Linked DNA regions of Anolis sagrei. Each later gene encodes a partner of the first gene's protein in a complex. Links are inferred from orthologs where the notes say so. Each region holds a gene or a part of one and is shown on either strand. Other genes may lie near its edges.

Region 1 (15,765 bases):
CCTATTCGTTCCCCCTCCAACACCACCTTTCATGTTGTTCAGATGACTTCCTAATCCTCTGGAGCAAATCTCTGGGATGGAGCTGCAGGGATGGGCAGAAATAGGCAAAACCAAATTCCTATTCATTCCTGTCAACGAGAAATGGTCCAGAAGACCAAAAGCATTATTTATATGAACATTCTGTCCATCGAAAACAAGATCTGGAGCCAAAATACTTTAGTTGGCCTTTGACTTCGCTGATCTCAACAGGGCTGAGATTTGATCAATGCTGTGACACTCTATATGTTACTGACCCCCATTCCCATCAAGGCCAATCAGCTCACACAACACTGTAGGATAATAGGCACAGTGGTTCCTAAAGAGATAAAAGTGCTATAGCTTCCTAACATGACTGTAGATGCAACCCATTCCTTGACAATACAAATCACATGACACATTATAAAAGTAAATTAGATGGATGGAAGAACATTTAAATAATTACCTTTGTGAGATAATATTGAGACAAAGTAGCTGCATTGAAAGCCCATTCTACTGGGTAGTAGCCACTATACTCAAGCTGCCGTTTGAGGGTAGAATGGCAGTACTGTGCAGCCTTCTCAATCATTTCCAGATGTTGGTAGACTTGAGCCAAATAATACAGCGTATGAGTATAGACTTTTTCAAATCTGAGGAAACAGGGTTTTCAGGTTTAATTTTAAAAGAGATGACCACCCAACCACCCAAATTCCAACTTCGGCTTCAGTGAACACAGACCTTTTTGATCTTTCTTGATCAGAAAGCTTCTCTTCTTCAGTCATAAAATGTTCACTGGAATCAAGCGGAGGGTTTCCATTCTGCAAAACACAACATACAGTTAAGATAATCTATACAGGAAATTTCCGCTCTACTAGTTGCATGTTAGTTCCGCTCCGATAGAAAAATAAAAAGCACTAATAGGAAAGTTGCGCTCATTCAAAAAAGCTGGCTTCATCCTCCATGAGCCCCAGCCAAGATGACAAGTGTTTCGGGATGATTAAATATGTAGCCCAACATTGCCAGAGAGCTGTGGATTCGCCTCCTTTTCTTCCAATGAAGCACCTTAAGAGCCGTCGCTCAGTTGAATTCTGCCAACTGAGAGAGTATGCTGGCAATGCTGCCCTAGCAAAGGAAAAACCACGCTGGCAAAGAGAAAGGGGCGGAGAAAGGGGCGGGGAGAGGCGGAGTCTCGTGACGTCAGGGACATGCTAGCAAGGTTTTCTCCCGCAGGAACAGAGTTTGCGACGGGCCTAATAGCTCCCAAAAGTATTTGTATTCCACAAAACAAGTGCCAAGGACATCTGAGGCAATTAACTCTGTTGACTTATTAAAACAGAGTCTGCATATGGCCAAACAATGATTATGCAAACCTAACTGTACTTCTACAAGCTTTTACTCTCCATACACAAAATCGTTATTGAAATAGCAGAAGTGCAATCCATTACTTTGAGAGTGATTTTTTAAATGTTTCAATAAAAGTAAGAGTATAGCAACAAAGACTTTTGAGTTGTTGTAGGTTTTTTCGGGCTATATGGCCATGGTCTAGAGGCATTCTCTCCTGCCATTTCGCCTGCATCTATGGCCACAGATATATAAACCCTTTCTCCTAGTTCTAACAGACCTCACTACCTCTGAGGGTGCTTGACATAGATGCAGGCGAAATGTCAGGAGAGAATAACTCTAGACCAGGGATCCACAAACTTTTTAAACCAAGGGCCAGGTCACAGTCCCTCAAACTGTTGGAGGGTCAGATTATAATTTGGGGAAAAAATGAATTAATTCCTATGCACACATCTTATTTGTAGTGCAAAACACTTAAAACAATACAATAATTAAAATGAAGAACAATTTTAACAAATATAAACTTAGTATTTCAATGGGAAGTGTGGACCTGCTTTTGGCTGATGAGATAGGATTGTTGTTGTTGTTGTTGTTGTTGTTGTGTGTGCTTTCAAGTCGTTTCAGACTTAGGTTGACCCTGAGCGGGGGCCGGGGAAATGACCTTGGAGGGCCGTATCCGGGCCCCGGGCCTTAGTTTGAGGATCCCTGCTCTAGACAATGGCCATATAGTCCGAAAAAACCTACAACTCAGTGATTCCGGCCATGAAAGCCTTCAATAATACAAATACTTTTGACATCATTAAGCATTCACTATTCTCAAACAAGAGTTGTTATAACAAGATACAAAAGATAAAAGTAGGAGAATCAACCCATGCAGGTATATTTATGACTAACCGTCCCCTGCCATGCGTTGCTGAGGCCCAGTCTGTTTATATGTGCTTTGTGTGTGTATATGTGTATGTGTATATATTTGTGCTGTTGTCCGGATGCTTGACCACCGGATGTCTCCCAAAGCAGTTGCTCTATCCTGAACTCAAGAATGGAAAACAGAATGTTGGAGGACAGGAAAAGAGATTTAAAGATGGCCTCAAAGCCAACCTTAAAAACTCTGGCATAGACACTGAGAACTGGGAAGCCCTGGCCCTTGAGTGCTCCAGTTGGAGGTCAGCTGTGACCAGCAGTGCTGTAGAATTTGAAAAGGCATGAATGGAGGGCGAAAGAGAGAAACGTGCCAAGAGGAAGGCGCGTCAAGCCAACCCCGACTGGGACCGCCTTCCACCTGGTAACCGATGCCCTCACTGTGGGAGAAGATGCAGATAAAGAACAGGGCTCCACAGTCACCTACAAACCCTCCGCCAGGGCACTACACTTGGAGGACCATCATCCTTGGACTACGAGGGATTCCCTAAGAAGAAGATATATTTGTGTATATGTATATATATGTGTGTGGTTTTGTGCATGCGTTGTAATGTATATATCTTTTTAATTTTTAAGTCTCTTCTGCTGTGTTTTTCAGTATTTTTATGAGTGATAGTCACTGGTTGGCCAAATACGTGTATTGTGTCCAAATTTGGTATCAATTCGCCCAGTGGTTTTTTTAGTTATGTTAATCCCACAAACGAACATTACATTTTTATTGATATAGATTAGCATGAAGAACAAGTCATCCGTTCTGAATAATTAAAGAACACAAGTTCCTGTAAAAATGTAATAAATAGTAACTTGATTGTAAGTCTTGATACTCCATGGACATCAATAAAAGAAAACAGTAACCAATTGTTTTTTAAATTACTGATGAACAAATCCACTACAGTAAGCAACCTCCCCACCCCCAAATTAAAAGAGCTTTAAATTAAAACCTGAAGTAATGAGTCCCCCCACTGAATCCAGCTCAAACAACTCAAGCACCTCTTCCCATGAGATTCTGTAGACACATTCAGATCCTCAGCTGGATCTAGATCTTCCAAGCCTTAGAGACTTTACATATGTATACACAGAAGGGTCTTCTCCTATCTCCATGACCTCAAAATCCACACATCAGTTGTTGAAATTACTATATACTATACCAAATTCATCAGAATAGAGAGTTAGACACATCTGTCTATACATATAAAAGTCCAAAGTCAGTCTGTCTAACACACCTATACCTATAACTCTTGCAATCCAAATTAATGGAGAATGGGAGACACATAAAGATTCAATAGGATGTTGTTATTATTACAACAAAGGAACACAGGAAAGAACCTGGAAACCACCACGCTTGACTCGGGATCCAAGCATAAGTAAGGAGACACTTTGAACCAAGCAGATCATGAGTGGATAAAACATGTAGATGAACAAGGTCGGTCATACTACTACAATGCAGACGGATCTCGATCAGAATGGGATTTTTAAAAATTAAATTTAAGGGCATTGGGATTGTGGCGCAGCTGGCTGAGTGTCAGCTGCATTAAGATCACTCTGACCAAAAGGTCATGAGTTCGAAGCCAGCCCGGGTTGGAGTGGGTTTCCAACCAATTGTGTGTAGCCTGCTGTTGACCTTTGCAACCCGAAAAACAATTGCATCTGTCAAGTAGGAAAATAAGGTACCATCTTATTGAACACACTGCAAAAGTATGAATTCTGACAATATGGAAATGGCAGAGAAACGCTTATAGAAATGGACCAACGAGCACCTTGCAACAAAGTGAGATGTAAATGGGAAAAATCAGAAACAACCACACAGATCTGAGAGACGAGAGCCCTCTCTCCATAGCACTATCATAGTCAGAGTAACTAAAAACAAATTCAGGGAACTAGAATCAAGACCAATAAACAATTATTTTTTGGATCACACTTCAGGATTTGTACAGCCTTCCACTGTTTTTTCTAGGAGTCGTGTCAAGAGGGCTGGAAATGGCTCCTGAGGCTGCGCACTGTATAAATAGTGCCTCGGAAGGTCTAACAAAGGGCCCATTGTGCAAATGCGATGGCACAGCAGAGTCAACAACTCAGAATGCTGCTTGCTATGCATCAAGAGTTTAGTCTATTGTGCATCTTACTGAAATGTAGAGAGAGGTTTTAAGATAACTAAACCCACTTTGTTCTGTGTAGCATTATGTGTCGAAGGCTTTCATGGCCGGAATCACTGGGTTGTTGTAGGTTTTTTCGAGCTATATGGCCATGGTCTAGAGGCATTCTCTCCTGACGTTTCGCCTGCATCTATGGCAAGCATCCTCAGAGGTAGTGAGGTCTGTTGGAAGTAGGAAAAAGGGTTTATATATCTGTGGAATGACCAGGGTGAGACAAAGGACTCTTTTCTGCTGGAGCTAGGTGTGAATGTTTCAACTGACCACCTTGATTAGCATTTGATTGCCTGGCAGTGCCTGGAGCAATCTTTTGTTGAGAGGTAATTAGATGTCCCTGCCTGCTTCCTCTCTGTTGTTGTGCTGTTGCAATTTTAGAGTTTTTTAATACTGGTAGCCAGATTTTGTTCATTTTCATGGTTTCCTCCTTTCTGTTGAAATTGTCCACATGCCTGTGTATTTCAATGGCTTCTCTGTGTAGTCTGACATGGTGGTTGTGAGAGTGGTCCAGCATTTCTGTGTTCTCAAATAAAATGCTGTGTCCAGGTTGGTTCATCAGGTGCTCTGCTATGGCTGACTTCTCTGGTTGAAGTAGTCTGCAGTGCCTTTCATGTTTCAGCATAGTGATTAGTGTCTATTGGTCTGTGTATTTTTGGTTTTGTCTGTTATTGTTGATATGGTCAGTGGACTAATCTATAAACAGAGCTATCTATCTTAGCATAAGCAGAGCAGTAACCCTGATTCTGCACCAACAGCATAACAATTGTACAAGAGCAGCGGAGCAATGCAGCCTTATTTACTTGGGAGTATTTATACTCTTCCGGGGAGCGGCGTGAGCTTTTGCTGTCAGCCCTAGCTTCTGCCAACCTAGCAGTATGAAAATATGGAAATGTGAGTAGATTAATAGGTACCGCTCCGGCGGGAAGGTAAGGGCGCTCCATGCAGTCATGCCGGCCACATGACCTTGGAGGTGTCTACAGACAACGCTGACTCTTCGGCTTAGAAATGGAGATGAGCACCACCCCCCAGAGTCGGACATGACTGAACTTAATGTCAGGGGAAAGCCTTTACCTTTACTATTATATAAGTAAAATTAAATAGAAATTCTGATAACTTTGGACACAAGCTTCGGCTTAACACCTTTGCTTAAATTGTAGCAATTTTGAAACGTAACATAAAAATGAAATTACAGTGCTAGATAGATTTACTAGATACGATTATAAATTTCTAAAATAATGGCTCCTAAGTGAAAGATACTGGCTCTCAGTTTCACAACATATTATCTAGGTTGCAAAATTCAACAATCATGCACCCAGACAACTTGCTTCTTATGTTATGACCACAGCCTATCAACACCAGAACTTAGAAATTCAATTACTCTCACATCCAAGAATTGACACACTGCAGAAACACAAATAATAATAAAGCTTTATTTATATTCCACTCTATCTCCCCAAAGAGACTCAAAGCAAATTATTTCAACATATTACCTCTTTCATGTACTGGTTATACAAAGCCTCTGCAGATTCCAAATATGGCTGTGCTGTCTTAATGTCCTCTCTTTCTGACCAGAGGATACCCAGATTATTCTGCAAAATAAGGAAAGATTAAATTGTTATTTTAAAAGACATCATACAAAGAAAATGAAATCCTACAAGGGGTGGAAAATGAAAGCTACACTTGTAATTTTAGAGATTTTTAATACTGGTAGCCAGATTTTGTTCATTTTCAGGGTCTCCTCCTTTCTGTTGAAATTGTCCATATGCTTGTGGATTTCAATGGCTTCTCTGTGTACAAAGAAAGGAGAAGACCATGAAAATGAACAAAATCTGGCTACCAGTATTAAAAAACTCTAAAATTACTACAGCAAAACAGCAGAGAGGAAACAACTAGGTACATCTTAACACCTCTTAACAGAACATTTTCCCAGGCTCAGCCAGGCCTTCAAATGCTAATGAAGGTGGTCAGCTGAAACATTCACACCTAGCTTCAGCAGAGAGCTCTTTGCCCCACCCCAGTCATTCCACAGATATATAAACCCATTTTCCTATTTCCAACAGACCTCACTACCTCTGAGGATGCTTGCCATAGATGCAGGCGAAACGTCAGGAGAAATGCCTCTAGAACATGGCCCTATAGCCCGAAAAAACCTACTAGAACCTAGAAGATAGATTCTTTTAAACTGTGGTGTTGGAGGAAAGTTCTGAGAGTGCCTTGGACTGCGAGAAGATCCAACCAGTCCATCCTCCAGGAAATAAAGCCCGACTGCTCATTGGAGGGAAGGATACTAGAGACAAAGTTGAAGTACTTTGGCCACATCATGAGGAGACAGCAAAGCCTAGAGAAGACAATTATGCTGGGGAAAGTGGAAGGCAAAAGGAAGAGGGGCCGACCAAGGGCAAGATGGATGGATGGCATCCTTGAAGTGACTGGACTGACCTTGAAGGAGCTGGGGGTGGTGACGGCCGACAGAGAGCTCTGGCATGGGCTGGTCCATGAGGTCACGAAGAGTCGGAGACGACTGAATGAATGAACAACATAAATCCCAGTAACTACGAATCCGGACATACATTGGGTTGTTAGGTGTCTTGTGTCCAAATTTGGTGTCAATTCCCCCAGTGATTTCTGAGTTCTGTTGGTAGCACGAACTAACATTACATTTTTATTTATATTGAAGATTATTATTTTGGTCACAAACCTTTTAGATAAGGGGTATTCAATCTTAGCACATATAAAGTGTGCTTATGAAAAAAGTGATGGTGGCTCAATCCAGCTACAGAGATTGTTTAAATATAAAAATAGAATACATTTCTGTGCTTTAAGCTCTTTTGGGTATGCTCCCCCCTCCTCTGTAATGCAGCCCTCTGTTGTTCTGTGACGTCACCACGCGCGCCCTTAGTGACGCCACCGCGCTCTTCCCTCCCTCCCCCGCCCGTCCCACCTGGGCCTGGATGTAGAGGGAGACGCAGTCTCGCGAGAGGCGGTGCCGCTCCAGCAGCTGGAGGCACTTGGCCAGGTGCTCCTCTCCGGCCGAGCGTTCCTGCGTGTCTGTGTGGTTCATTCCCAGCTCGTACTCCACCGCCGCCAGCCGCGCGGCGCGCATGCGCTCTTCCTCGGCGCCCTCCTCCGCAGGGCCGCCCTCGGCCTCGCCAACCTCCTCCGAGCCCAGCGACTGCTTGATGCCTTCGAGCAGCTCCCGGGCGCTGTACTTGGAGCGGTACGGCTCGGTCTCCGGGTCCTTCTTGGACTCCACGTAGGAGAGGTTGAGGGCGTTGCGGAACTTCTCGCACAGCGAAGCCCACTCGGCCGGCGCCGCCATTTTGTCCGCCTCTCCCTCAGCGCGTCTCCAGGGTTTCTAACCCGACCGTCGACTGGCGCGCATGCGCAGTCAGGGAGCGCGCCAGAGAACGTCCTCTTGGCTCCCTTCCCTCCGTTACAGCCGCCTTCCACGCTTCTCAGTTGTTGTTCAGTCGTTTAGTCGTTTCCGACTCTTCATAACCTCATGGACCAGCCTCCCTGTCGGCCGTCACCACCCCCAGCTCCTTTAAAGCCAAGCTAGTCAGTTCAAGGATCCCATCCATCCATCTTGCCCTCATGGACCAGCCCAAGCCAGAGCTCCCTGTCGGCCGTCACCACCCCCAGCTCCTTTAAAGCCAAGCTAGTCAGTTCAAGGATCCCATCCATCCATCTTGCCCTCATGGACCAGCCCAAGCCAGAGCTCCCTGTCAGCCGTCACCACCCCCAGCTCCTTCAAGGTCAAGCCAGTCAGTTCAAGGATGCCATCCATCCATCTTGCCCTCATGGACCAGCCCAAGCCAGAGCTCCCTGTCGACTGTCACCACCCCCAGCGCCTTCAAGGTCAAGCAAGTCAATTCAAGGATCCCATCCATCTTGCCCAAGCCAGTGCTCCCTGTCAGCCGTCACCACCCCCAGCTCCTTCAAGGTCAAGCCAGTCAGTTCAAGGATGCCATCCATCCATCTTGCCCTCATGGACCAGCCCAAGCCAGAGCTCCCTGTTAGAATCAAAGAGTTGGAAGAGACCTCATGGGCCATCCAGTCCAACCCCCTGACAAGAAGCAGGAACATTGCATTCAAATCACCCCTGACAGATGGCCATCCAGCTCCTTAAGCCGCTCCTCATAGGGTTCGTTATCCAGTTCTCCAGACCCTTGATCATTCTAGTTGCCCTCCTCTGGACACATTCCAGCTTGATAATATCAAGCTGGAATGTGGGGCCATCACCACCCCCAGCTCCTTCAAGGTCAAGTCAGTCTATTCAAGGATCCCATCCATCCATCTTGCCTTTGGTCGACCCCTCTTCCTTTTTCCTTCCATATTCCCCAGCATCATTGTCTGGAGAACAAGCCCTGTGAGGAGCAGCTTAAGGAGCTGGGCATGTTTAGCCTGAAGAAGAGAAGGCTGAGAGGAGACATGATAGCCATGTATAAATATGTGAGAGGAAGCCACAGGGAGGAGGGAGCAAGCTTGTTTTCTGCTTCCCTGGAAACTAGGACGCAGAACAATGGCTTCAAACTACAAGAAAGGAGATTCCACCTGAACACGAGGAAGAACTTCCTGACTGGGAGAGCTGTTCATCAGTGGAACTCTCTGCCCTGGAGTGTGGTGGAGGCTCCTTCTTTGGAGGTTTTTAAACAGAGGCTGGATGGCCATCTGTCAGAGGTGCTTTGAATGCAATATTCCTGCTTCTTGGCAGGGGGTTGGACTGGATGACCCATGAGGTTTTTTTCCAACTCTAGGATTCTATAATTCTATTGTTTTCTCTAAGCTTTCCCTTCTTCCTTCTTCTCATGATGTGGCCGCTGGGCGTCTTTCATAACCAGTTGTTTCTACTTAATGTGAATGTGGCAGTTTTTTTTAATATGTGTATTTGTAATATATACATTGAGTTAATTTAGTTATTTTCATATTACCACAATCAGTGGGTTTTGGTCTCCATAGTTTCAGGGTAACCCATTTTTCTTTTTGGCATTATGGGTATCTGCCAGGTGTTGGATTCCTTCAGCCTTCTTTCTCCACCAGATGTTATTGAGTTCTCTTGTCCTTTGGACCTCAGCTTTTGCACTAACGTAGATCTTTTTCTTAGTAGCACAGTTGATATCTCTCTGCCATGTTTGGAAGGCTTTCCTTTTCTTGTCAAGTTAGCTGTTGGATCTCGTCATTTTCGTCAAACCAATCTTGATGTTTCCTGGTTTGATATCCAGTAGTTTCTTCGCAGGCTGTGATGATGGAGGTCTTCAGTTTGTTCCAACGTTCCTCAACATTTTCAGGGTGTTCTGTGGGTAGATGGTTCTTGAGTGCTGTTTGGAGATGAGCTCGTTTGGAGGGCTTCTGAAGGACTTGGGTGTTCATTTAGCACCGTGTCTTTCTTCCTTGGAGTCTGCGCTTGGGGGCCATCTTGATAGCCATCGTGGATTGGATTAGCCTGTGGTCTGTCCAGCAGTCGTCAGCACCTGTCATGGCTCTTATGAGAAGCATGTCACAGCCGTTTCTGGCCCGTGTGATTACGTAGTCTAAGAGGTGCCAATGCTTTGACCGGGGGTGCTTCCATGATGTCTTGAACTTGTTTTTCTGGTGGAAGAGCATGTTGGTGATGACAAGGTTGTGTTCCACACAATGCCATTCGAGTTGCTGTTTCCAACCCCGTCTTTTTCTATGATCCCTGGCCACAGGTCGAAGTCTTGCCCGACTTTTGCATTAAAATTCCTCAGGAGGATGATTTTGTCCTCCTTAGGTATCTCTGATAGGACGGTGTTCAGCTGACAGTAAAATTTTTCCTTGATGTTTTAATCAGCATCTAGTGTTAGTGCATAGGCACTTATGATGGTTGCCTGTTGGTTTTTGGCAAATTCAGTTCGGAGGGTTGAGAGTCGTTCATTGATGCCAGTGGGTGCTTCGGTCAGATGTTTCACCAGGTCATTTCTGATAGCAAAGCCAACTCCGTGCATTCTTTAGTCTTAATCAGTCAGGCTCTTCCAGAAGAACATCTCTCTTCCAACAAACAGTAGGCAGGTGTTTGCATGTCTGCAATCTGTGTGGTCCCAAAGTCTAAAAAGTCTGTACTCTGCTGGTTCCAGAGCGGATCATGTGGTCTGCAGCCCCTCCCACAACTTCTCAGGAGAAACATAGAGCAAGGAAAGAAAGTTGCATATCAGAGCATACATACAATATCTATAAGCAACAAGCTTATTGTAAAGGAGACCGTTTTAATGCCACCGAATGCCACCAAATGTGAAGGTGCGAGTGGTAAAACACCCACTGCCACCTAATCTATGAGGGAAGCCAGGCAACGCTCAATATCAACCTAGGAGCTATTTTATAAAGGGACTGTTAATTACAGAAGGCTTTATTTATTTGATAGCGTAGCGTTTACTTTCCTGGCTTGACTTTACTATTGCAGGCTGTTCAACTTAGGAGAAATTGTATGAGGCAAGGCTTGAGGAGAACAGTAACAAGTTTATTTTAACAGGAGTATAACATGTTTAACTGTTTCTTCAAGAGAGGCACAAATCTTGATGGTTACATTGGAAAGGTTTCATAAGTAATCTCAGGCACAGACTTCAAAACGTTTCACAGCAGGCACAGCAGGCTTAAACCTAGCCAAACCTTGATTCTTAATTCAGAATCAACAACCCCCTGTAGCTCTCTCACTACCGGGTCCTTCTCTGCAACCACTTTGGTCACCAATTGATTCCCTGAATCCCCACCCTGAGATTCAGTCTTTCCTATAGCACACCGGTTACAGACACTTTTCCTGAATCTCCACCTAGAGACTCAGTCCTCTCAGTAGCTCTCCGGCCACTGACTGACTTTTTAAAACAGCTGCCTCCTGAAGAGGCAGTTGGCTCCGCCCCTGTTGCTACGGCAACTTAGCTAACGCCAAGCCACCATCTCCAACAAAACATAATCTCCCATACTTACCATCCCTAAACCACTATGCAAACTACACATAACCAAAGAAATAAAACTTACACATCGTCACACTTATAGATAAACCAATTGCTAGAAGAGGATGGAAGAAGATACAGAGGGCCAACAATTATTTTTGTACATAGTGGTGGTGCAAGTGTGCAAAAGGAAATTGCAAATCTTGGACTTTGGCTCAACATCTCAAAAACAGTACATAGCAAAGCCAACTCCGTGCCTTCTTTGGTCTTCATCAGGCAGTCCCTTCCAGAAGAACATCTCTTATAATAAACAGCAGGCAAATGTTTGCAAGTCTGCAATCTGTGTGGTCCCGAAAAAGTCTGTACACTGCTGGTTCCAGAGCGGATCATGTGGTCTGCAACCCCTCCCACAACTTCTCCATCAATATAAATGTAAGACCTCGGCAAACTCACCAGATTAAATACCTCAGCTCAAAAATCACCTCCAACAGAGTTACAAACTGGGTAGGTGCAGGGAATGCCATGAATGTAGCATATCTGGATTTCAGTAAGGCTTTCAACAAGGTCCCCCATGACCTTCTGGCATTTCAGTGGGAGGTGTGAGTCTGCTTTTGGCAAATGAGATCGGATTGTTGTTGTTGTGTGCTTTCAAGTCATTTCAGACTTAGGCTGACCCTGAGTGAGGGCCAGGTAAATGACCTTGGAGGGCCACATCCGGCCCTCGGGCCTTAGTTTGAGGACCCCTGTTCTAAATGTATTACTATAAGAGCTTGTAGCAAATGTGGTAACTGTAGCAGCACTAGGTTCGGTCTTGGTTTATTATGCTAGTGACCTGGTGTGGTGTAATGGCTTGAGCACCGGATTATGACTGGATAACAGGGTTCAAATTCCTCCTTGCCCAGGAAATGCACTATGCAAGTCATATTATCTGTCTCATCTAAACAAATCTTGCTAGGTCAGAAATGACTTGAAGACACAGCAGCAATGAAACGCCAATCCTAATATTTGTCAACATGAGTTTTGCAACCAGACAAAACCAAACTAATAAAAAAGAAAACACATAAGGAAAGTGTAAATCAATTTTTACTGTTGTTAAAACATCCTTTATATTTGACAGTTGCAAATGATCAAAAAAGCCCGGTCAAAAGTTTCGTTTTTGGCCCCTGTTTCTGAATCTGTCACGCCTGTTCGAGTCACCACCGCGTCTTCCATTTCTGAAATTAGAGCCCCCTCCGCCCCCTCTTCTGTTCCTGAAGTCAGGTTTGCCGCCGCCGCCTCGGCCAGGCTCCTTGAGCGATTCTTCAAGCTCAGGTAATTCTGTTGCCACAGAGAGTTGCCAGCGCCTTGAATCCTGCCAGGTTTGCTGATTAAAACAAAAAGCACGTGTCATCCAAGGCCCCATCTATACTGCCACATAATGCAGCTTCAAAATGAAGTTTAGCTGCATTGAACTGCATTATATTAGTCACCCTGTTCTGTGACCCATAAGGAAATGAGGTTAGATTGGATGGGGAAAAGAGACCTTTTATGGCATGCTGGTGCCTGGAGTACTACATGATTCCTATCCTTTGGTGTATAGGCAAATATTTTATATTTTATGTAAGTTATTCAAAATGGCCATACCAACAACTCTTTATGGGCTGTCTTGAGAGGGTAGGAGTTGCAAACATACCTAAGAATAAGAGGCAAATAGCCCCACAAACCACAATAGGAACTGGCCAGGATTTAGCTTATCTTTTTCTACACCGCAAACATGTATATTTAAAGGAAGGTACACTAAAAGTGAGTAGTACCCTAGAAGTACTAACGCTACCTATTCTGAGAATCTTAAAAGGACTGGTTTTCTGGATTAATTCAGGTTCACGCCATAATTGTGATTCCTGTGTTTCAATACTGATGCAAATACCACCTCTTCAACATAATTACAATTTATCTATATAAATAAAAATGTAATGTTCGTTTGTGGGATTAACAGAACTCAAAAACCACTTGACGAATTGACACCAAATTTGGACACAAGACACCTAACATCCCAATGTTATGTCTTTCACTAAAAAAAAATTGATTTTGTCATTTGGGAGTTGTAGCTGCTGGGATTTATAGTTCACCTACAATTCAAGAACATTCTGAACCCCTCCAACGATGGAATTGAACCAAACTTGGCACACAGAACTCCCATGACCAACAAAAAATACTGGAAGGGTTTGGTGGCCAGTGTCCTTTGGTTTTGGAGTTGTAGTTCATTTACATCCAGAGATCATTGTGGACTCAAACAATGATGGATCTGGACCAAACTCTACACGAATACTCAATATGCCCAAATGTGAACACTGGTGGAGTTTGGGGAAAATAGAATCTTGACATTTGGGAGTTGTAGTTGCTGGGATTTATAGTTCACCTACAATCATGGAGTGTTCTGAACCCCCAAATGATAGAATTGGGCCAAACCTCCCACATAGAACCCCTATGTGGGCCTCAGCAACGCGTGGCAGAGGACGGCTAGTTCATTTGAAAAAGAAATGTATATTTTTTAGAACTTTAGTTTAAAAAAAAGCAAAACCCCACATTAGCAATATCTCACCTGTAGTTTAGGTAGTTCAGCTACAGGAATATCAAAACACACACCCTAAACACAAGAGAAATAAGATTCAAAATTTGTCTCCAGACAAAGTAACCTGAAACACTCTGGAAAAATAAGTGACATCATGTTTAAGACATTATAGCAGTCAAGCTACAGAAAATGCTTGTTTTCTTACATTCTTATTTCAGGTATTTGATTCAAAGGAAGACTAAAGGAACAGCTCATGCTAAACTATAATCGGTCTTAAAGGTGTGCTAGATTTGTTTTTTTGTCCTTCCCTTCTTTTTTTAATAATATAAATAAAATAGGTACTGTTGTCTCTAAACTTTCTCAATAATCCAAAGCACCATAACCTTTTTTATTATAAGATGGAAAACTGGGAAGACTGTATCACTGCCTCAAGCAGTGATTCAAACCCAAGTTTTCCTAATAAAAGTTTTGCAAGCTATCCTAGGACAACACAACTCAAAGTTATTAAAAGCTTTCCATAATACCATTTTGGTTATCAATTCAAAATTTTCTCTTTGCACGCCAGATTAGACAAATAGAAAAAGCAAATGCCACAGAATACTCATCTAGTAACATATACTAAACTGCAGGTTTTCTTACCGTTTTCCCCTTGAGAAAGCGCATTCTGAACACTTTGTTGTCAATATCCTCACCCAATTGCTCTTTCAGAGCTCGCCAAGCATAGCCAATTGAGTGCATTTCTACTGAGCACTGAAGCGTTATGGTCACGTAACCCTTCAAAAGACGCAAAAAAACCAGGTTTACAATAAAATGAACACATAACTGACTCCAGAGTTGTAGCACATAACACTCAAACCACTAGAGTATGGTGGCCCCTCAGGTTGCCAAAAATTGGAAACAACTCGAAAGCGTAAAAAGCATACAAAGCTTGCAGTAGAACATCAAGAAATTTGGATTAGAGAGGACTTTGGTTTGGCTCTTTCATATGTCCACAGTTTCTTAGGCTTGAATCTTATTTGTTAACCCCAAATAAAATAGCCCAATGATTCAGTGAAACTTAGAGAAATAAGTCTACCCAGTGATTTAGCAACGGATGCGATGGATGTACTATAGATGGGCCTCACAACAAAATTTAGACCTTATTTTTTGTTAAAATGGACAACCTGCATTAGTTCATAGTCAAAATGCAATGTTTTAGCATGTAAACATTCAACACATGCAGGTATGTAGCTCAACTACGTCATACAATTCATTGATAAGCCTTTCAGGAATGCTAGAAAGGTTAAAGAGCCCACGTAAGCACTGTATTTACCGCATCTGAGTTGAGTAAAGAGCGTTGCTCAATGGACGTGGCTCCTGAAATGTGAGCCAGGGCTGCAGCCAGAGCTTCTACAGCTCCCTTTTCCTCTATCAGCCGCTCAGCAGATTGTCGGAAGTAGTCAATGGCAGAGGGAGGGACAGAATCCAATGATCTAAATGAAAAATGTACAATTCAGAACGAATATAGGGGACAAACTGGTCATCATTTGAAAATTACTTAAATGAGAAGAGTCAATAGGACAAACAAGTGATAAGACTATCCTCTGGGACGTTTACTGGGAATATTTTTATTGCCTCTTTTTAGGCATATGAGTGAAAAGGAGTCCTTAGAGGAAAATGAGAAGAGACAAATTTAAACTAAAAAAGCTGATATATATTATAGGCGAAGACACAGAATGGAAGTCAAACAACTATTTTTTTTTTACTTTTTTCCTCCTTTCCTCCCCTCTTTTTCATTGATTTCCTAAATTTCCTACTATCCTATAACCTAATGTTCTCCCACTTTCCTTGTAAACTTAAACCAAAGTTGATATATAGAATCATAGAATCATAGAATCATAGAGTTGGA
Region 2 (16,342 bases), on another chromosome or scaffold:
AAATTTTAAGCAACAGTTTAAGACAGGAGTCCTCAAACTAAGGCCCGAGGGCCGGATGTGGCCCTCCAAGGTCATTTACCCGGCCCTTGCTCAGGGTCAACCTAAGTCTGAAATGACTTGAAAGCACACGACAACAACATCTCATCATCCCAAAGTAGGCCCACACTTCCCATTGAAATACTAATAAGTTTATATTGGTTAAAATTGTTCTTCATTTTAATTATTGTTTTGTTTTTAAGTGCTACAAATAAGATACGTATGTGCATAGGAATTCATTCATGTTTTCTTTTCAAATTATAATCCGGCCCTCCAAAGGTTTGAGGGACTTTGACCTGGCCCTCTGTTTAAAAAGTTTGAGGACCCCTGGTTTAAGAGATTGCAATGAAGAGAGATTAATGCCAAATACAGTCCATTACTTACATCCTGTAAAACTATTAATGTCTATGCCATTTCCATATAAATATTTTTGAAGCTACAAATTTTACATACATTTCAATTCCTGTAGCATATTCAGTGAATCATTCTTAGCTTTTATTTTGGAATCCCAGAATGGCACAAACAGTTGTGCATCTTATTTTGAATTAATTAAACTACTGGGGAACAAATGTTATTTGCTAAATTATAATTACAGTATTGTAATGCAAGACATAACAAAAGTGCCTCAAAATGTAGTTAGCTATTCCTATGTGTGCTTCCACTACAATGCTATACATGTCTACTTAACAGTCACTACCACAGAATTCATTAAGGTTTCTTTGCAGGGTAACTGGGTAGCAGATTCCAACCTTACATGTGAAGAAATCTCATTGAATACAGTGAGACTAACATTTAAGCAAATATGGACTTTAGGGATTTTCTGTACGGGAGGGGAAGCTCTTCATTTCTAATTTGTCTATTAACATACAGGAATAGGAATGCAGTTTATAAAAGACAAGCAGCTACTGTACGTACCTATACTTGGCACCATTCTTGACCATGGTAAAATTATATTTTACTGGTATACACACTTTAGAGTTTGGAACATAGACGTCACTTTAGACCAGTGGTTCCCAACCTTCTGAATGCCGTGACACCTTAACGTAGTTCCTCATGTTGTGGTGACCCCAAACCATAAAATTACTTTTATTGCATAACTGTAATTTTGCTATTGTTATGAATCGTAATGGAAATATCTGATATGCAAGATGTATTTTCATTCACTGGACCAAATTGGGCACAAATACCTGATACGCCCAAATTTGAATACTGGTGAGATTTTTTTTGGGGGGGGGGGTTGATTTTGTCATTTGGGAGTTGTAGTTGCTGGGATTTATAGTTCAACTACAATCAAAGAGCATCCTGAACTCCACCAATGATAGAATTGAACCAAACTTGGCACACAGAACTCCCATGACCAACTGAAAATGCTGGAAGGGTTTGTTGGGCATTGACCTTGAGTTTTGGAGTTGTAGTTCACCTACATTCAGAAATCACTGTGGACTCAAACAATGGTGGATTTGGACCAAACTTGGCACGAGTACTCAATATGCCCAAATATGAACACTAGTGGAGTTTGGGGAAAATAGACCTTGACCTTCGAGAGATGTAGTTACTGTGATTTATAGTTCACCTACAATCAAAGAGTATTCTGAACTCCACCAACAATAGAATAGGGCCAAACTTGGCACACAGAACCCCCATACTAACAGAAAATACTGTGTTTTCTGATGGTCTTTGGCAACCCCTCTGACGCCCCCTTGCAACCCCCCCAGGGGTCCCGACCCCCAGGTTAAGAAACGTTGCTTTAGACTAAAAATACACTACGCAATATAAACTTGTTTTGGCTGTTAGATGCCATATAATATTCTGAAAGTACTGAATATGTTCTGATCTTAATTGCTAAGCAGTGCCAGTAACAAATACCAACTGTGATAAGACTATATTTCAGAAGGAGGAACTTCCAGAATTGATGTGGTCACCACAAATCAACAGGTGACTAGCATGTATGAGCACAAAAACATCGAATGAAATTATCTAAAGTAATTCTTAATGCATCCAACATATTCTTAATATCTGTGGCATTCTACAAATACCGGCACACTTACATCACGCTGCATTTGCGCTGGCACATGAGTTCTCAAAAATAACATATTTACAGGTGGACATAACTGATTCACCATTAAGTACCTGTAGTTTTGCTCATTAATAATGTAGGTAATTTTTGAAAAAAGATCCTGTTAATGTCACATTATATAAAAATGGGAAGAGGGGGAGGCATCTTGAGACACCTTTAAGTTGAACCAATTTATTTCAGCATAAGATTTTGTGGACTATCACTCAGTGCTGTGAAATCCTAATCATATCTATTTAAAGTCTCATTCAATTCACTGAAAACTACTTCCAGGAAAGAGGGTACATAAGCCATTACGTAGGACTTTAGTGACACAATACACTTGAGACAGTGCTCCTGCCTGTATCAGAAGGTGACCAGAGTTTCACTCATCCTGCACTATAACAGTTCAGTCAGTGACAGCATGGCAAGGCAGTTATGAGGAAGAATACGCCTGACTTTTGTCCTATCTTTCAAATCCCACTTTGGTACAGTTAGTTACCCTGGTAGAAGGAAGTGACAATTCTTATCTTTATAAATACAGACAACTGGGAGTTAACTTGTAGAGAGATAGCTTCTTCATTCAATTACAGTAAACACTCGTTATATAGCATCTTAAAAAAAATGTAGTGCAATGTATTTTGCAGAATAAACATATACCATAATATATGTTGGGTTTTAAGATGTCACTAGAATCTGTTTCAGCTGGGTCAAGTTCGCACTACCATACATACTTTAGTTTCAGTATGCTTACTCAGACTGAAGCCCCTGTTCAATAGAGTGTTTCAGAGTAGTGGTTTATATTCCATCTTTCCCAATGGGACTAAAGCAGTGGTTCCCAACTTGTGCTCCATAAGAACTAAAATATGGGCCGCGGCCTCACAGTTAATACCTCGTTGAAACAAGAGCAACTGGTATTGCTAAATCCTCTTATAGTGCCGAGGGTTATTAAATATGGTTTTCTGTGGGCAAACAGATGGCGACTACTGGATGACATATGTTCTGTATCATAAACTAGAGCTGATGTGGTCTATCCAATGTAATTTTCTGAATCAGCACCTCAAACAACCAAACCAAATCTAAAGTTGACCAAAAACTAATTTGGAGAGTGGTCCATGGTTAAAAAAAAAGTTTGGGAACTACTGGACTAAAGGATGCATACAGTGTAAGATTAAAGCACATCAGCTAAAACAATATGAAGTACAAAGGTTAACAAAACACTAACAGACGTCGATCTATCTTCGCTGAATGCAGTAGGATCAACTCCCACATAAACATTGTTGGGATTTCATTTTATTGCCTGGTAAGTAAGACAGCTTGATCCAAAGAACAATGCTTTTCTGAGCTCAGTTGGAATTATTCCCACGTGTTCATACAACTGCAACCTTAAAGGTGATTTGAAATGAAGAAAGAGAGCCTTGTGATACTTTCAGAACTAACCTGGTTATTTCAGTATAAATCTCCACTGGCTATAGCCCACTTCACCATATACCCCAAAGGTGCCACATCCTGCCTGATCTTGGAAACTAAGCATGGTCAACTCTGGTTAGTAACTGAATGGGAGACTTTCAACAAATAGCAAGTGCTGTAGGCTTCCTATTTCAGAGGAAGGAACTATCAAATTATTTCTGAATATTCCTTGCCCAAGGAAATCACATAAAATTAATAGGATCATCATAGATAACTTGAAAGCATATCAATGTATACACACATACATATATGTATGTGTTGATTATAATTGACCACGCTAAGATTACAGTAAAGTATGTGGCCCTTTCCCTCACTTTTTATCCCTTCGACAAACTTGCAAATTGGTGTGATAGTGGCTGCTAGCCCATAGTTACCTAGAAAGTTGGATATGAACCTGAGTCTCCAAACAGGTTCATAAAGGTGACTTTACCTTCTCTTTTTATACATTACATCATTCATATGAAAGACAGTGTTTTTAATCTAACTGTTCATAATTTTGTTATTTGATTGTGCTGTACTTTGTGTGTTATATTTTTATGTGTTATTAATTGTTTATTCCACTTTATTCCACCCATATTGAGACCTAAATTATGCTGTTGTTGGTTCTGATGATTGTTTTATATTTTGTTATAATTGCTGCTTTGTGTTATTTTAAATTGATTTTATGCATTCTAATGTGCTATATTTTAACTCTGTTGATAGGGCTTGGCGCCATGTAAGTCGACCCGAGTCCCTTCGGGGAGATGGAGGCGGGGTATAAAAAATAAAATTATTATTATTATTATTATTAGAAACACAACAAGATGAGTCCACAGCAGACACTCCGCTGGCTGTTGAATTGGATCACACGTCGAACACTTCCCAAGTGTCTAGGACTGTGTGATGTATTGGCGAAAAATGTGTGCAGATCCAGGTAAGGTGGCCTTCTGCAGCTGGTAATTTTGTCAGCGCCGATTGTGTTTAAGTGCAGGCCAAGGTCTTTAGGAATTATTATTATTATTATTATGTATTTTCTTATATTGCACTTATTGTGTTATTTATGTTGTAAGCTGCCCCAAGTCCCTTTTATTATTATTATATCATTATATTATTATTATTATTAATGATCTTTAGTCTAGAGGTCTTTCCAAAGAAAATTAAGGCATTTTAACCTCCAGAAAACTGGCAATGTAGATGATAGATAAAAAGTTCAAATTACAGCTCCTGCAACATATCTATGTATAGAGAAAGTGCTCAAAATACAGCCTCTGAAATGTTATAGACATGTACACACGGAGATACAAAGTCATGAAGGGATCCTATATATTCTGTACACAATGTAGTATTTATTTATTTATTTACTTTGCTTGTATACCGCAGTTTCTCAACCTGCAGGCGACTCAACGCAGTCAATGAAACAACATACAATATTTAAAACCATTAACAGCACAATATACAAAATAATGACACATCAATACAACACATTAGCATCTCATAACTAAAATCGTGATCCAATTCGTCATCCATAAATTCCGTTTCCTATATTCATCGTTCATTGCACTATTTATCTGAACGCCTGTTCAAACAGCCAGGTTTTTAGTTTTCTTCGAAACACCATTAACGAAGGGGCTGATCTAATGTCCCTGGGAAGGGCATTCCACAGCCGAGGGGCCACCACAGAGAAGGCCCTGTCCCTCGTCCCCGCCAGCGTGCTTGTGATGCAGGCGGGATCGAGAGCAGGGCCTCCCCAGAAGATCTTAGAGTCCTGGTGGGTTCATAGGCAGAGATACGTTCGGATAGGTAGCTTGGGCCAGAACCGTTTAGGGCTTTATAGGCCAACGCCAGCACTTTGAATTGAGCCCGGTAGCAAATCGGCAGCCAGTGGAGCTGGTGCAGCAAGGGAGTTGTATGCTCCCTGTGCTCCGCTCCTGTTAGTATCATGGCTGCCGAGCGTTGGACTAGTTGAAGCTTCCGAGCCGTCTTCAAAGGCAACCCCACGTAGAGAGCGTTGCAGTAGTCTAAACGGGATGTAACCAGAGCGTGGACTACCGTGGCCAAGTCAGACTTCCCAAGGTACGGGCGAAGCTGGTGCACAAGCTTTAACTGTGCAAATGCTCCCCTGGTCACCGCCGAAACCTGGGGTTCCAGGCTCAGCGATGAGTCCAGGGTCACACCCAAGCTGCGAACCTGCATCTTCAGGGGGAGTGCGGCTGTAACACTATGCCCTGTTCGGCCTTGTGACTGATCAGGAGTACCTCTGTCTTGTCTGGATTCAGTTTCAATTTGTTCACCCTCATCCAGACCGTCACAGCGGCCAAGCACCGGTTCAGGACCTGGACAGCCTCCTTAGTAGCAGGTGGAAAGGAGTGACAGAGTTGGACATCATCTGCGTACAGATGACACCGTACCCCGAAACTCCAGATGATCTCCTGCAGCGGCTTCATGTATTGGATTTATAAGATTTGATTTTCCGCAAGTAATGGAAATTTATTTCCTATATATATATATATATATATATATATACTGTATATGATGTGATTGTATTGTAAATTAAAAACAAAATAAATAAATAAATGAGTTGTTAATTACTGAAATGCCAGAATACATATGTGTGTGTGTGTGAGAGAGAGAGATAGGTAGAGCATAGGCATGGGCAAACTTGGGGCTTCCCTCCAGGTGTTTTGGACTTCGACTCCCACAATTCCTAACAGCCTCAAGCTTAAGCGGCCCAGGGGAAAAAGAAAGGTGCCTGAGGCTGTTAGGAATTGTGGGAGTTGAAGTCCAAAACACCTGGAGGGAAGCCCCAAGTTTGCCCATGCCTATGCTCTACCTATCTCCTCTCTCTCCCTCCTGGCCTAGTTCAATGGCTTCAAAAGTTCATTGCACCCGAGCTCCTCCTCACCCGTCCTAATTGGTACATCTTTAACCTCTTTAACTCACCGGGACCCCGAAGAGAGCCTTTGTTTACTCCCAACCCGCGCCGCGTCTTTAAGGCGTCGGCACCACTGGAGTTCTCTGGCCTTCCGGCAGCCACCAAATTTAAACCCAAGCGGTTTGGAGCTCTCTGCCTCCTGGTTGGCTCCCGACCGCGTGACGTCACCTGCGTTACTGCGGGGCGGGCGAGGAGGAGCTCGCCTCTTTTGTCCCAAACGGGGACCCGTCCCTCCTTAGCCCAAGCAGAGGGAAAGGTGGGCGGCTCCTCTTTCTCTCTCTCTCTTTATGATGGTAATAGGAAGTTGGGTAGTATTGGCAAGGAATGAATGAATGAAGGAAGGAAGAGGTTTCTTTGCTACGTAGATGAGAGAGGGAGGAGGAGGAGGAGGTGTGTGGGGGAGCTTCTGCTCATGGCGGAGAGAAAAAGGGAGGCTGGATTTCATAAGCGCATTCTAGAGCTGGGCCGGGACAGGAGTGCAGCCTGGTTTGTCTCCCATTCAATTACTAAACATTACAGCCGGCCATCCCCTATCCACGGATTCTGTATCCACGGCTTGGAAACATTACAAACAATTGAATGGGGACACAACACATACACACACCTTCACTTTGCCATTATTGTGCCATATTTTAACGAATAGCACTTTCAAGAGGGTGCTGATTTGTGTTGATGTATTTACTAATTCATCACACTAGGGAATGAATCCACTTTAAATCCGGTTTCTGCCTCCTGCAGAAATCTAGAGTTTGTAGTTTAGTGAGGAGGCTGTTAAGTCTCCTCCCTAAACTACAAACCCCAGGATTCTGCGGATTCATTCTCTAGATTGAGATCCTTAATAGATTGTTAGTTATTGCAATTGTCTTTATACCCTAATATTTAATTCTATTCTAATGTTTATACATTTTCGGGTTTAGTTTTTAAAAAAGGATTGTTAGTCTGTGGCCCCATCTACCCTGTCACAGAATGCAGTTTGGATCTGCATATGAGATTTGCCCATGCCTGCTCCAGTCTTGAAGCCCTGCAGACCCAGCGACTGCTGCCTCTCCTCCGCCTCCTCCAGCCACTGACGTCACGCGTCACGTGGGGTGCCTGCTTCTCTGCGCGGCGTGGGCGGCTGGGGTTTAAACTTCATTTCAACCGCAGATCCCTCCCGGCCTCGCAGCTTCACACCGCAGCTCTTCCCTCCTCCAACAACCCCCCCCCCCCAAAACCAAAACATCAGCTTTAAGTAGAGTGCAGCCAGCAATGCAAGCCATTCTGATTCTGGCCAGGAAGATTCTGTGCTATTATTATAATCCAGAAACTTAATGTTCAATTGGTCCACCTTCCGGAAAGAACTAAAGACGTGGATGTTCTATTGTGCCTTCGACTAGCTAGTCCCCCCAAATAGTTCTGGCTCTCAATTTGATCCTAAATAGATGTCACACATTACCATTGCCCTGGTTAGAGATATAATGCTCCCTTTATACTACCCCTTAGGTCGAAATCCCGTTATGTCCTTTCCTTTAGCACTTTATTCAGCAACCCTTGTTTATTCATTTAGTCGTTTCCGACTCTTCGTGACCTCATGGACCAGCCCACGCCAGAGCTCCCTGTCGGCCGTCACCACCTCCAGCTCCTTCAGAGTCAAGCCAGGCACATTTTCTCCTTCAGCCAGATATCAATCAGTACGGTTGCGATCAACCCTATCTTTTGTCAAATGATCGGCACCAGTTATCCGCCCGAATTCAGTACTGTGCACTATTCAGACCATTGAAGGTTGCCAGATGTTCGCTATATAATGCATTTTGTGGTGGTTTTATATTGTTTGAAATGTTTTTATGACTTGTGTTGTTATTTTAACCATGTTGAATTTTGGGCTTGTCCCCATGTAAACCGCTCTGAGTGCCTTTGGGGAGATGGAGGTGAGGTACAAAAATAAAGTTATTATTGTATTATTGTTGGTTGAGACTAATTGGAAAAACTAGCAAAATGTACTGCAGGAGGTCCCGCAAAAATAAAGGGCACCTGATGAACCAACCTGGACACAGCATATTATTAGAGAACACAGAAATGCTGGACTACTCAAGTACCATGTCAGACTACACAGAGAAGCCACTGAAATCCACAAGCATGTGGACAATTTCAACAGAAAAAAAGAAACCATGAAAATGAACAAAATGTGGCTACCAGTATTTAAAAAACTCTAAAATCAGGACCTAAATAAAGACAGAGGAGCTTCAGACATGATACAATCAGGGACAGCGAATCAGCTCTCAACAAAGGCAGTAACAAGCCACAGCTTGAAAACTGCTAGGCCATTAAATGCTAATCAAGGTGGCCAATTGAAACGTTCACACTTACCTGCAACAACAAAAGGTTTTTTTTTTTTGCAGTTTAACTTTATTCTTGTAGCCTGCCTCCATCATCCCAAAGGGACTCGGGGCAGCTTACATATGGCACAAAGTGCCAAAAACAGAGCATAAAATAAACACACAGTACAATATAATAAAGTAAAACATATAGCATATAAGTCAGTTCAGAACTCAGAACAATGCCCAATAATCTATAGTGACAACTATTGTAATTAACTTTTCCCCATGTTTTTTAAAATGATACATCCAATTAGGAAATGACATTTATAGCTCAGAAACAAAAAATTCTCTCCTGACTTTTTGCCCACATGTATGGCAGGCATCCTGAGGTTGCTGGAAACTAGCCAAGTGAAGTTTATATATCTGTGGGATGTCCAGGATGGGAGAAAGAACTCTTGTCTGCTGGGGGCAAATGTGAATGTTGCAATTGGTCACCTTGATTAGAATTAGTAATCATTAGTAATATGTGTTTATGTTTTAGTAACCCGGCTCGAGTGTAAGAGGCGGGCAAGAAATAAAGCTATTATTATTACTCAAAAGGGGGGAAGGAAACGTGAGAAAAAGAAGGGGTGTCTACTCCAAGGGGGAAGGATGGAAAAAAGGGGGGCACTGGCTTTTAAGAGGAAGGGACAGCATGTAAATCAGGGGTAGGTGTCATAAGTCTTACAATATCATCTATTCTATGACCTGGAACCTGAAGCTATAGCTAATACCAAATAAGAGACTCCCCTGGGCACACAGAAGGCTGGGTGATTTGGAAGGCGGCGAACAGACTGCGCTCTGGCACCACAAGATGCAGAGCCAAAGTGGAGTCCACCACATGCGAGTGTGAAGAGCAAACCACAGACCACCTGGATTATTGTAGGTTTTTTCGGGCTATATGGCCATGTTCTAGAGGCATTATCTCCTGACGTTTCGCCTGCATCTATGGCAAGCATCCTCAGAGGTAGTGATGTCTGTTGAACTAGGAAAAAAGGTTTATATATCAGTGGAATGACCAGGGTTGGGACAAAGAACTCTTGTCTGCTGGAGCTAGGTGTGAATGTTTCAACTGACCACCTTGATTAGCATTTGATGCCTTGGCAGTGCATGGGGCCATCTTTTGTTGAGAGGTCATTAGATGTCCCTGATTGTTTCCACCTATTACAATGCAATCTGAGCCCTGCACAGTGGAGGACCTCCTTATAGGAACACCAGAGGCCAGCTACCGGTCAAAGGACATTTAGTATAATGTCAAGTTTTAAAACTGTCTTTTTAAAAATACAGTACAACTGTACCCCTGGTTTGCTTCTGATATGATAAATAAAATAAATCTATTCTATGCAGTCCAGTGTGGTCCTTGTTTTGATTATTTCAAATGAAACAATGAGCCAAGGATGAGGTTTGCTGAGTCCCACAGAAGCTTGCAAAGCCAACTTTCAGCCTTCTGGAGGAAAAAAAAAAGACGTCGTCCAACTGAAGACGTGTCCCGCCTCGGGATTTTTGGTCGAGTTCTCCCCCCTGGGACCAACCAAACGGCTACCATGGGCCTGACTGGAAAGATGTTAGCGCCGGAGTGAAAAGTCCGCTTCCCTCCTCAGTAGTCTGTGGAAGATGAGGAAGAGGTGGCTTAGCGGAACTCAAGGCAGCGGTGCCTTGTTGCGCGGAGGACTCTTATTGGCAGCACTCTAGTGACGCAACGGGGGAACCTGCGGCGTGGCGCACCGGCCTCGCAGCGCGGGTTGTGAGTATCTCTTCAGTCTCCAAGCGCCGGGACTGACGGACTGGCGGGCGGGAGGGAAAGCGAGAGGGAGAGGGAGATCCGAGGAAGGAAGGAAGGAAGGAAGGAAGGAAGGAAGGAAGGAAGGAAGGAAGGAAGGAAGGAGGAGGGAGGGAGGGAGAGGCAGGCTGGCCGGCCCATAGACCCTGGAGACGCCACGTTGCCTGAACACGCCACACGCAGGCTGCTCTGCGGCTCCCACTCACGGGGCGCCCTGGTTGCCACGGAAATGGAGGGGCTCCTCAGGTTTCGCCTCCCAGAGACTCCTGCCTTGCGCGTCTTCACTACGCCAGAGGATACAGCCGCATTGTGGAATCGATGCACCTTTACCTGCCTAGGGCTTGTAGTTTGGTGAGGCACTCTTTGGCAGAGAAGGTGCAGTGCTATGAAACCTAGGGAGCTGTGCATTGGTGACCTCCCAAGTTCCAGTCCAATACTCTTTGACAGAGAAGGCTAAAGACCTTGTAAAACCACAGCTCCCAGGATGCTGTGGCATCAAAGTGGTGTCAAACTGCACTGTTTCTGCAGTGTAAACACAGCCTTTGCTAAAGAGCTGCTAGGAAGAGTGGCATACCGAAGAAGAACCAAACAATAGTACCAAAATGGCCATGAAACCAAAATGAAGAGTTTTCTCTTGCTATAATAATAAAAAAACTTTATTTATAACCTGCCCTCGCTCCCTGAAGGAACTCAGGGTGGTTTACTGAAATGACAAAAATGGCAAGCATTCAATGCCAAAAAATTAAATAACAATCAAAGCAAAACATAAAATTAAATAAATCAATATAACTTGTAAACAACCGAAGTCAAGGTTTAAGCTAAATAAGCGTACTACTTCATCACGCTAAAGAAAAAAATCCACTTAAAATCTGGTTTCTACCTCCTGAGAATTCTGGGGTTTGTAGTTTAGTGAGGCCATTAGAGGCTCCTCCCAAGGAAACAGACCAATTAAAACATTGTACATTAAAAGCACAGTGTAATATATTTCTATAGCAGTATTATCCCATGTTAACTGCCATGGCTGCCATTATTGCAATTTAGAGGGAAGCGTTTGAATTCTTGGAGAGTTCTTGCCCTCATTAAGATATAAACTCCAGATTTGAGAGACATGACCTTCTTTGTGGTGGCCTCTCAGCTATGGAATTCCCTCTCAAATGAGGCATTCTCTCCTGACGTTTCACCTGCATCTATGGCAAGCATCCTCCGAGATAGTGACCTCACTACCTCTGAGGATGCTTGCCATAGATGCAGGTGAAATGTCAGGAGAGAGTGCCTCTAGAACATGGCCATATAGCCTGAAAAAACCTACAGCAACCCAGTGATTCTGGCCATGAAAGCCTTCGACAATACATTGAAATTAGATCTGCTCCATCTCTCCTGGCCTTCCTAAAAAAAGTGAAATCCTGACTGTGGGGTCATCCAGGATTTCACGTTTTTATCTTAGTTAACAAAATGAATGTGTTCCTGGGCATTGCTTTTAACAAAAAATGTGCTACAGGTGGCAGAAGTAACATATAAAGAAAGAGGATTACAATCCTACTCCACAAAATAAGTTAATTTTAACATGTTTCAGCAAACGTTTTATCCAAAACTAACAACATGCACATATGAAAGGCTATTAGAAGTAAACAAAACCATTTGAAACCTACAAGAGTCTGAAAGCCTCTTCCAAAATTTATCCAGAGGCAATTGGCTATGTTCTTCTGATCTCCATTTTGGTGACCAAGCTTATACATTTATGCTTTTTTAGCATACCAGATTAGTTGGTAAGGTGTGACTGTCTCTTTTCCTGATTGTTTTATTGTTTACTTTCTTAGTAAAGGATTTGTGATGCTGCTGCTATTGTTAGTAGGCACACAGAGCTAAAATAGGATTTACATATTAGAATCATACACTATCCCAGATCAAACTGTATGTCATTGTTTACTGTAAACACTACTGCAACATGACAGTGGTAGTCTGTGTTTCTCCAACTCGATCTCCGAAATTCAGCTAAAATATGTTCAGCTAGAGAGTACGAGATTGGACAAGAGTCTAAGCATGTGAAAAAAGCCTTTTTAAAAGGAAGGTTTTTTTGTTAAGGGTCTTTCTCAGGCAAGGGCAAACTTCGCTCCTCGACTGCTTTGGACTTTCACAATTCCTAACAACCTGTTAGGAATTGTGGGAGTTGAAGTCCAAAATACCCAGAGGGCCAAAGTTTGCCCATGTCTGGTCTTTGTTAATTGAGATATGTCTGTTTTGCAAAGACTGCTGCAGTCAGTTTGGAAGGAGATTATTGGTGTGTGAATCAATAACGTGGATGGTCCATCCATTTCCTCGCAAGATCTCTTCAAGTATTATTTGGTCATTCTTTCCACAAACACTAAACCATGGTCTCCACAGCTTAGTTGTGGCTGTTCCAGTCATACATTCATATAAATTTATATATTTATATTGTGGTAAACCATAGCCTCATGCAGCTGGTTCGTTCTTCCTTGGAGTGGCAGGACCTATTCATCTGAAAGCATCTCTTTTGGCATTGTTTAAAAGTCTTACTTTATCTGGCATTTCTGTTATTGATTTTTTAAAAGTTGTATATTTCTCTCTTAATTATTTTTCATACTTTCCTCCGCCTTTTTTTGAGTAGAGGCAGTTTTGGTTGGGATATTATGAGCTATTTTTTCTAACACTAAATTTAAGTCCATTATTTACTGTATCTAATGATACCTTTCAGTTTCTGCTGTGCATGCCAGAATACAAATAGAAAAAACAAATAAGAAGCAGAAACTTTGGGTTGTTGAAGACATTTCCATATAGGTGTCAAATAGCATAATGAACAATATTGAGGACAAAAGTTACTAAAATGGATAATTCAGTGAGCTTCCTTCCCTTCCTCCTGATACTAGAGAATGCATAGCTAAGATAGAAAACAAGTTTAGACATTGATACTTAGATGCTACACAGGGTATATAAATTGTTCAATTTGGGCTGAAAAATGATAAATTCCTGATAAATTCAGGGGAATCAACAGTGGGCACATCCAAATGCTCGAGCTGCTTTTGAGCTCATGGAGCAGGGAGCAGGGAGTTCTCCTTATTTGTGATGTGCTGAGTTAATGAACTTGCAAAGAAAACAATTTCAAATGAAAAGGCTATAATTATAATTCATACATGGTTAGTCAAAAAAGAACCCTAATGTAAGGGACATGGTATATGGTTGAAACAATGACAGTTGTTTATAGACTGCATGGATTCTCCCAGGAGCCGTAATACAACACCCCTGATTTTGTCCTTAAATTTCTCATATCTGCTAAAGTACTTCTGGTTTTGAAAAGGAGCCTACTAATCTAACACAGATCATAAAGAGGGTGATAGCAAAATTGCCTCAGTGCTGTCAAGGAAGGAGAAGGGGCTTCTTGAAGTTTTTGTCTAATGGTATGCCAGGTGAAAGCTCTCAGAGCTCTGTGAAGGAAGGGGGTGCTTTCTTGATTTCTGGGTGCTACTTATCACATACTTGGCTTTGAACATAAATCATTTACAGCAGTGGTTCTCAACCTGAGGTACCCAGAAGTTTTTGGCCTACAACTCCCAGAAATCCCAGCCAGTTTACCAGCTGTTAAGATTTCTGGCAATTGAAGGCCAAAAACATCTGAGGACCCCAGGTTGAAAACCACTGATTTACAGGATTACAGCAATACATTGTTCCATATTTTTCTAGTAAGATAAAGTACATTATCAAATAGATTAAATATTTTCTTCATGAGAAAAATATGGGACAGTATGGCTGCAATCTTGTAAATGAGTCATGTTCATTAATCAATGCATGGAGTATGTCTCGGGATGAGGACAGTTCGCAAACGTGGAATTTGCAGTTAAAGAATGGTGCAGAGGCTCTTCCCCCAATTGTAGATGAGGCAGAAAAAGAACACACTAGGGAGAATGAGGGGTTCTTGTAAATATCTGACTTGATTATCCTTAATTGAACCACCTTGAGTTGCCTCCAGTTGAGAAAGGCGGTATACAAATGCGGTTAATTAATTAATTAATTATTGCAGTGGTATGCCTCTGAGAAGGGGGCCAGTTTAGAGTTACGCAATCCAGGGTTAGGTTTCAGGGAGATCTGCAGAGCACCTTACAGGAAAGGGACCCTGTCAATCCTGAAAGAAGACGGGGGTTGGTCATAGGCGAACAGAATTGGTGATTTGCAAACCTGACAGGATATCTAGAGAAATATGCTGCCTCCCTGGGGCAAAAATCCACCACGTGACTCAGCAGCTGACAAGACTAATCAAACCCACTGATTTCCTCCCCCTCTCCCCTTCATGTTGGTTCATGTAGGAACCAGCAATATTGCAAGGCATAGTCTCCAAAAGATCAAAAACTATTTTGAAGCTCTCAGAAGAAAGCCGAAAGACCTTATTGTACAGGTGGTCTTTTCATTTCTTTGTTGTACGATGCAGCCCAGGAAGAGAGAGAAAAATAGTAGAGGCGAATAACTGACTCCACAGATGGTGTCAGGAAGAACAATTCGGCTTCCTGGTCCATGGTCTGCTTTTCCAGGAAGATGAGCTGCTGGCATGGGATGGGTTGTTCTTCACAGAAGTAGGAAGGGATATTTTTCCTCAGAGACTAGTGATCCTGATCAGGTGGACTTTAAACTAGGTTGTGTGGGGACGGGTGACAATATCCTTGGGAACAGTAGTATATCATCATCATCATCATCACTTTATTTCTTAATTAGTCGCTCTCTACCAAAGTTCTCCGAGCGACTTACAATTCAAAATAGCTTATACACAATATAAAACATTCAATATAAAAACATTCAACATAAAAACGTTCAACATAAAAACATTCAGCAGTGACTATGGCAAAATTTGATCCGATTACTTAAATGCACAACCAAACAGCCAAGTCTTGAGCGCCTTTACAAAAGGTCGCAACTCCAACATTGCTCTAATATATGGAGGCAATGAGTTCCATAGAATTGGAGCATAGATCGAAAAAGCTCTACGCCTTGTAGCTTCCAAATGTGCCTCCCTAGGACCCGGTATGTATAGGAGATTTTCCTGGGTGGATCGAGGTGACCACTGATGGGGAAAAGGAATGAGGCGGTCCCTAAGATATAAAGGTCCTTGGCCATTTTGAGCTCTAAATGTCAGGATCAGTATCTTGTAAGAGATCCGATGTTGTATTGGTAGCCAATGCAGTTGTTGCAGAATCGGTGTAATATGGGATCTTATAGATGATCCCGCTAGCAGCCTGGCTGCCGCATTTTGGACCATCCGAATCTTCTGGGTCGTTGACTTTGGAAGGCCAACATATAAGGCATTGCAATAGTCCAACCTAGTGGTGACTGTTGCGTGGATTACCGTTGCCAATGCTTCTACCGAAAGGTAGGATGTCAATTTCCTTGCCTGGAGAGGCCCAGAGTGAACAAGCAATTTCCTCGCCAGGCAATTTCCTTGCCTGGTGAGGCCCAGAGTGAACAGCCAAAAGGCTAAAGAGAAGATTGGACAAACACAACAAGTATCAAGCAGTGAGAGGAAAAAAATCTCAATTGAAGTTGATTTGAAGGCAAATACCAACAATCAATGTTGAATGCTTTTAGTTTATCCATTTTTCTAGGAAATTGTATTCTCATAGCATTTTGCATTACAAGCTTTATCCCATTCATCCTCACAATAAATCTGTTGGGTAGGATAGACGGCGAATGATTTCTACAATGCAAGTTGAAGTTTGAAAGCGCGTTTCTGATATTGAAGCTTCATTTTTCTAACT

The links.
Region 2: the proteins of KIFBP (region 1) and kinesin-like protein KIF18A are in contact, whole or in part, in a cryo-EM structure (PDB 7RSI), measured with the Homo sapiens proteins. The link is inferred for Anolis sagrei from reciprocal best matches to the Homo sapiens genes KIFBP and KIF18A. Residues at the interface, in NP_056449.1 of Homo sapiens: Ser150, Glu151, Tyr212, Tyr213, Gln216, His220, Gln238, Ile251, Asn252, Thr255, Gln258, Asn262, Gly414, Tyr415, Val459, Asp460, Leu461, Asn462, Pro463, Gln464, Leu467; in NP_112494.3 of Homo sapiens: Glu181, Thr183, Gln184, Lys185, Gly186, Arg274, Phe275, Val276, Glu277, Gly278, Thr279, Asn280, Ile281, Arg283, Ser284, Leu285, Leu288, Gly289, Val291, Ile292, Arg314, Lys317, Asp318, Gly322, Asn323.

The regions. Positions count from the first base shown.
Region 1 is NC_090023.1:170,881,540-170,897,304, reverse strand, and holds the start of KIFBP (KIF-binding protein), read right to left. Parts: upstream 7,800-15,765; 5' UTR 7,741-7,799; coding exon 7,363-7,740; intron 6,011-7,362; coding exon 5,912-6,010; intron 834-5,911; coding exon 754-833; intron 666-753; coding exon 482-665; intron 1-481. Other genes in the region: DDX21 (nucleolar RNA helicase 2), read right to left, coding at 12,468-12,689, 13,908-13,952, 14,517-14,651, 15,190-15,349. UniProt on the Homo sapiens protein: Activator of KIF1B plus-end-directed microtubule motor activity. Required for organization of axonal microtubules, and axonal outgrowth and maintenance during peripheral and central nervous system development.
Region 2 is NC_090021.1:260,361,984-260,378,325, reverse strand, and holds the start of kinesin-like protein KIF18A, read right to left. Parts: upstream 6,651-16,342; 5' UTR 6,479-6,650; intron 1-6,478.